Arabidopsis thaliana: one gene and its partner. The protein of the gene in region 2 interacts with the protein of the main gene of each other region in a biochemical or structural test. Each region holds a gene or a part of one and is shown on either strand. Other genes may lie near its edges.

The links.
Region 1: the proteins of HSP18.2 (region 2) and AKR2 form a complex in vitro, tested with the Arabidopsis thaliana proteins (one study listed by BioGRID).

Annotation. Positions count from the first base shown.
Region 1 is NC_003075.7:16,837,561-16,841,315, forward strand, and holds the start of AKR2 (ankyrin repeat-containing protein 2), read left to right. Parts: upstream 1-1,971; 5' UTR 1,972-2,186; exon of another isoform or gene 2,187-2,284; 5' UTR 2,285-2,301; coding exon 2,302-2,338; intron 2,339-2,367; exon of another isoform or gene 2,368-2,434; coding exon 2,435-2,568; intron 2,569-2,649; coding exon 2,650-2,862; intron 2,863-2,956; coding exon 2,957-3,105; intron 3,106-3,171; coding exon 3,172-3,358; intron 3,359-3,487; coding exon 3,488-3,580; intron 3,581-3,755. Other genes in the region: CLC-E (chloride channel E), read right to left, coding at 1-86, 256-719, 801-1,004, 1,098-1,785. UniProt on the Arabidopsis thaliana protein: Exhibits chaperone activity toward chloroplast outer envelope membrane, mitochondrion outer membrane, endoplasmic reticulum membrane and peroxisomal proteins, by recruiting specific proteins containing a single transmembrane associated with an AKR2A-binding sequence (ABS) and subsequently binding glycolipids (e.g. monogalactosyldiacylglycerol (MGDG) and phosphatidylglycerol (PG)) present in the membrane of the target organelle.
Region 2 is NC_003076.8:24,060,753-24,063,952, reverse strand, and holds HSP18.2 (heat shock protein 18.2), read right to left. Parts: upstream 1,631-3,200; 5' UTR 1,322-1,630; coding exon 836-1,321; 3' UTR 653-835; downstream 1-652. Other genes in the region: VIP2 (VIRE2 interacting protein 2), read right to left, coding at 2,217-2,276, 2,367-2,505, 2,595-2,636, 2,734-2,786, 2,875-3,200.

The DNA.
Region 1 (3,755 bases), on a different chromosome or scaffold from region 2:
CGATAATCCTGTGTAAGTTCAAATAGCAGTAGTACTGCTGTAAGAGGAACTTGACAAACCCCCGCAAGTGTAGCAGCCATTCCAACCTGTTAAACAATGAGACAAACAGGATCATTGGCAATGAAGCTACAAAAAAACTAGCATCCATTCTCAGTTAACCCGAAAAAATATTCTGTTCAAAGTATTGATAGGTAACCAATCAAGAAAGTCTGAAATTAAGACAATTTTGAAACATTGACCACATAAGAACAGTACCAGACCATAAGCTTGTGGAGATGCCACTTCCAAGATAGAGAGATTGAAATCAGGGTTCTGAGCCAAAGCAAGTCCAATAAACTTTCCATAGGCCATTCCTGCTGCCCCGCCAATAAAGAGAGAAGGAGCATAGTATCCACCGACAAGTCCAGAAGCCCGACACCATGCGGTTGCAGCTATCTTGACCGCTACCAGCTGAAGCAAAAGATCAGCTGAAAGACCCTTCACAAATGGACGTTTCTCCAACAAAATATCCACATTCTGAAAACCCCAGTATAATACTTCAGGGTATACCAAAGCTATGATACCAACACTTAATCCACCCATTACAGGAAATACAGCCTTTGGTATCCCAGCATCCTTGTTAAGACTGTCAACAGCAGATGTCATGGATGATGTACATCGAGATAATGCCAACGAGACCAAGCCACACAGAGCGCCCAATAAAAGATAGAGTGGAAGTTCTGAAAATCAGTGACCAGCTCTCATAAGTTTGGTTTCTGGTTCCCTTGCGTAAAAAGCATAAGAATGGCAATGCATATTACCTCCAGGAGAGCGGAAGTCATAGTCAGGAACCTTAAACGCAGGTTCAGAGCCGAGACCGATTTCGGAAACCACAGAAGCAGTAACAGCACTAAGAATAACCATAGAAGTTGTGTTTGGAAGTGAAGTTGATGAATCAGTTGATGAAGAAGGCCACAAAACGGATTCAACTGCAAAGAAGCATCCAGCCACAGCTGCATTGAACCCTGTAACAACATATAACAAAGTCCTCTTAACGAATCAATCAAGAGTTCCATACGCAAGAGAGAACAACATTAGCAAATATCAGATGAACAAACCAGAGGAAATGCCAGCAGCTGAGCCAGCGGCAAGAAGTGAGAAGCCAGTCTGAGGACTTTTATTGAACAGAGAATTCACACCTTTAGCGATTGACGCTCCAATTTCAACACTTGGACCTTCCGGCCCCAGCGAATTTCCAGTCCCAAGCGTCACACATGCGGCAACAGTCTTAAGGAAAGGACGCAACACTGCCTTTACGCGATCGAGACTAGAATGAGAATCTCCAGTAGATTTTCCAGCAGATTCTCGAAGCTGATTGAGGATGCTCACCACCAAACCGCCGATAGTCGGAACAAGGATAACACGCAACCAATTGGAACCGATCGGTGCCTCTCTAAGCCACGAAGCTCCACGATCAGGAATCCCATCCCAGGAAAAGTCTCGAAGCAAGTGAACACAGTTGTTGAATAGAACCACACTAACTCCAGTGAGAACACCAACCAAACAAGCCGACGCTATCGCAAGCTCCTGAGACGGCTGCTGATCAAATCCAACCTCATCCTGATCAGTCTCCTGCTTCGCCGCCGGTAAACGCGGGAAAATTCTACCGCCAATAGCGACGGAACCGAAAAACGGTGAAAGGACGACATTGAACTGAAAAGGAACGTCGGTTTTGTGAATTGGAGCGAATCTCCGGGAAGAGACGGGAGATCGGAGGGCAGCACAGAGTGGAAGCGTGGCTGCCATGAACGGCTGCTTCCGTGAAGTGACGCGTGTTTATCCATTAACGGATAATTTGATCTTAAATCACAAATCTTACGTGGCTGATCTTATTATTCAAACGCATGGGCTTGGGCCTTGAGGTAAACAGGTTTATATGGGCCAATAACAATAAATTTGATTAAAAATAAAAGGCCTCTTAGCTTTAGGTTCAAACTTCAATGGAGAAGCAGTGGCTGTTGTCCCTCGCAGTTGATCTTCTTCTCAATCCAAAATCCAGCTGATAAATAAATAATTTTTCTCTTGTCGTCATATTAAAAAAAAGAAAGATTATCTGTATTTCAAGTTTCATGAGCGTTTGCCACCACAACATTGTCTTTTCGGGTTAATTTCTTCTTCTTCTTCCTTTTCTTACTAAATTCTCTTAGGTAGTTGTCGATTCGATTTCTTTGTCTTCCTCTTCGCTTATTTTCGTTGAATCTCTTGTTTACACCTTTTCCTGAAAACAAAATTGTGTTTTTTGTAGGGTTTTAGTCATACTTAATGGCTTCCAATTCGGAGAAAAATCCTCTTCTTTCAGGTGATTATTTTCTTCTCAGTATACAATCTGATCTGCGATAATGAATCGTTTCTAGTCAGATTTGGTTATTGGTTCATTGTAATTTGTTTACTGTAGATGAGAAACCCAAATCGACGGAGGAGAATAAGAGTTCTAAGCCGGAATCAGCTTCTGGGAGTTCAACTTCATCAGCTATGCCTGGCTTGAATTTCAATGCTTTTGATTTCTCTAATATGGCTAGTATTCTCAACGTAAGTTACCTTTGCTGTTAGCACAATTGAAAAGTTATCTTCTTTGAGTTTTTTTTTAATTGATAATGGTTTTTTTTGTAGGATCCTAGCATCAGAGAAATGGCTGAGCAAATAGCTAAAGATCCTGCGTTTAACCAATTGGCTGAGCAGCTTCAGAGATCTATTCCTAACGCTGGCCAGGAAGGTGGTTTCCCTAACTTTGATCCTCAACAGTATGTCAATACAATGCAACAGGTTATGCATAACCCTGAGTTTAAGACAATGGCCGAGAAACTTGGTACCGCCTTAGTTCAGGTTAGGAATTGATGACTTTTTCCATCTAATCGAGGTGTGGCTTTGAATGAAGCTCTGTGTCTTATCTGATTTTATTTATTTTTTTTGCCTACAGGATCCACAAATGTCTCCTTTTTTGGATGCTTTCTCGAATCCTGAAACAGCAGAACACTTTACTGAGCGTATGGCGCGGATGAAAGAAGATCCAGAGTTGAAACCTATACTAGATGAGATTGATGCTGGTGGTCCTTCTGCCATGATGAAGTGAGTGATACAAACTTCTTTCAATGTTTTTTAGAGAAACTGTAGAGTTTGTTTCTGTTTATGAAGGAAGAATTATTTATTCTGTTTTAGGTACTGGAATGATCCAGAAGTGCTGAAAAAGCTGGGTGAAGCAATGGGTATGCCTGTTGCTGGCTTACCAGACCAGACTGTTTCAGCTGAACCTGAGGTAGCAGAAGAAGGTGAAGAAGAAGAGTCTATTGTTCACCAAACTGCCAGTCTTGGTGATGTTGAGGTTAGACTGCTTCCTACGTTAATATGCTTGACCATGTGAGATTTATCTTGCGTGTTGCTTGAGGAATTAGATGTTCCAAGTTTTGTTTTGTTGAACTCGTTATTGGATTTTTATTCGTTGATTCATTAGGGTTTGAAAGCTGCCTTGGCATCTGGTGGTAACAAAGATGAAGAAGATTCTGAAGGAAGGACAGCATTGCATTTTGCTTGTGGATACGGCGAGGTATGCAATTCTCTTATCAATTCACGGCAATTAAATATTCGGATTTAGATGGTTCTCTTTTTTTCAGTAGCTGTGAAGTTAAGAATCTTTATAATCATTCAATTGGTAGAAAAGTAACCAGTCTACTTACGTCTACGAGTTTCATGACACAATTACTTATAGCAAGTTCAAATAT
Region 2 (3,200 bases):
AAAGCAAATCATTCGATTACTTTTGGAACTTTGTGATTTTATCAACGACAAAAGAAAGTACAAAGATTATTGAGCAAATAGACAATTAGACATATACGTAAAAGACAATCATAAGTAGCTCTCACTCGTGAATCTTTTGACTAACTGTAATTTTTTTGGTGGTATATAACTTCATGTTGGTACGAGTCCACATTCCACAATACAATAAAAATAAAAGTAAAAAACAAATTGCAAATGCAAATTGCTTATGAAATAAATACGAAGCTGACATTATTAGTACATAGACTACCAAAAAATTCTAAGAAACAGAAAGGTCGACACGATAGGAGGGTCGGTGAATCTAATCAGGTTCGCATTAATGCTTTAATTAGGCGATTCCCGATACGTAGTCTCACGTTACAATTAGTACTAAAATAAACGTAAACCGAACTTAATCTCCTCATTATGTGCCATGTTTTAAATCATTTGTTTTGCGGTTATTACGCTTACTTTTTTCTACATCTTTATTTTATAAAATAGATCATGAAATAGCATGATGAAGGGAGGTTTATAGGTCCCTCGCCTCGTTTTACTCTATGAGCCCATCTTATCTTTAATCATATTCCATAGTCCATACCATAGCACATACAGTAGTTATATGCTGCAGAAGAGATCCAACAAAACATTCACAATGGATTATAGAAACATTTGTTTATTCATTATAATGAGATCTTACATTCATTTAATATTAGAAAAAGCCACAAATTCATAACACAACAAGCCAAGAAAAAAACACAAACTTAAGCACACAAGCTTTTTATTTGACACACCAAATATTTCATCTTCATCTTCATATTCAATTAGCCCCGGAGATATCGATGGACTTGACTTGAGGCTTCTTCTCAGGCGCTTTCGGAACCACAACCGTAAGCACACCATTCTCCATTGTTGCCTTCACTTCTTCCATCTTTGCATTCTCCGGTAACCTAAACCTTCTCATAAACTTCCCACTAGCTCTCTCCACACGGTGCCACTTATCGTTCTTCTCTTCGTTCTCCTTGCTCCTCTCTCCGCTAATCTGCAGAACGTTCTTGTCTTCAACCTCAACCTTGACTTCTTCCTTCTTCAGGCCTGGCAAGTCCGCTTTGAACACATGTGCCTCCGGCGTTTCCTTCCAATCCACTCTTGCGTTTGTAAACGCTGCCACATCACGAGCGGTTGAAGCGTTTGCCAACGCAGAAGATGGCGTGAAGAATCCTTCGAATGGATCCCATAAGTCTTGCGAGAACGGATCAAAGACGTTTGATCTGCGTCCTCCAAAAATGCTTGGAATGAGAGACATTGTTCGTTGCTTTTCGGGAGACTTTTGGTTCTTGATTTTCCTGCTGATTTGATCTGATTAGCAAAGGACATATTTATAGGGAAGTTAGAGGATGAAGAGAGAATGTTCTTCGAGTTTCTTGAATAGAATAGAAAATGCTCCTTTTTCTAAAACCTTCGCTTGGAGTCTTTAGAACACATACACAATGATCACTGTGGTGAAATGACCAGATTTTTCTTGGCATTTCAGGAAGTTTCGTTTGTTGAAACAAGACCGAAATGCAATCCTTGGTTACAATTAAAACTACGTGCCGTTTTGCTTTGTTGTTGTATTATCCTCTTCGAGATACGGGCTCAGTGAAGCGGATCTTCTTTGCAAAAGCCCATTTCTTAATAGGTCGGAAGTGGAATTTAAGAAAATCTAACTCAGAGAAAAGAGGACAAAATCAAGATTTAAGATTATTAGCTTTTCGCCAAAGGAAAACTATAGTAAGTTCTCGCAATAACAGTTGGCACTAAATTTCCGAGAATGTCAACAATCTTTTAATGGATTTTTTTGTCTCCATATATACAAGAACTGAGCCACGTTTTTGTGACAAACATAGACAACATATTTACTAAACAAGTAAACTAAAAAAAAAAAAAATCTAAATGATTCGATTCAAGTATCAGTTACTGTGATCAAAATCTCAACTTATTTATTGCCTGTTCATGTCATGCTTGAACCAGAAGAAATGACCATGGAAAGTAATTGTGATTACCTTTTTGGGAAACTTGGGGTTAAAAATTGAAAATGTGATATGTCATGGTTTTGGTTTCTAATCAATAGAACTTGCATGAAAGAAAGAAAGAAAGAGAAATGAAGAGAAAAGCTTTACATTGTAAAGATGCTACTAATTGAACAAACCTACTTGTCGTCAAAGCTGCAGCAAGCTTGGTCTCTTTTCCATAAGCTCGTACTTGATAACAAAATGTTCCTGCGATAACCATCACCAGCAAAATTCACTCATAACACTGCAAATTCGAGAACAAGGAAATAGATATTCCTGCAATAATCGTCGGCTTACCTTTCTCACTGTTTTGAACGAATTTGGATCAAGGTATTCGTATGTTCCTCTTTCATATGTAGCTGCCCTGACTAAAGGTTCCCCGACTCTGAAGAACCATACTCTGAGTTCCTTGTGGTAAAACCAACCTCTTTCGTAACTGCAACATGTCAATCGAACTCAAAAGTCTCAGCCAAAGAGAGCGGAGTAAACGAATAGATCAAAGATTACAGTAGAGAAAAAACATACAGTTCATCTGCTGCGTACAGCTGTGCTTCATCTTTTGGCATACTGGAACAATAATTAGAGCAAAGTAATAAGTTTAAAAGCCCAAGGTTAATTTAGGAGTTGGGCAAATGTGACGCTGAATGCTGATCTAATAACAGACCTGTAAAATGTGTAGAACAATAACTCGTAGGAGAACCTTTTGAAACTAGCTCGCTGCAACAAACGGAAATAATGACACATTTGTTAACAAAATCGAGAAAATACTTTGTTGGTACTACTCGCAACAACAGAGGGAACTTACAGTTAGAGGCGGAGGTTCTGTGGCGTAGTAACAATTTGGTACTGTGAACTCGACCTCGCTCTTTGCCGGTTCATTTGTCCAAGGAGACGCAAATGTCTTGTAGAGATTTCCAGTTGAATTCAAATCCAATCCTAGCGTCGTCAAGTCGATGCCAAGAGCAAGTGAGGTCAATTCAGGGTTGCTCCTGTTTAGTACGTCTAACAAGCCAAGCAAGCAAAAAGGATCTGCCTCTGACTGTGTCGATTTCATCTCAGAATCTCTAAATTGGTTGATTGATGACATCTGTTGCACAGGGAACTGGGATTGATTTTGATGTTGCTGATACT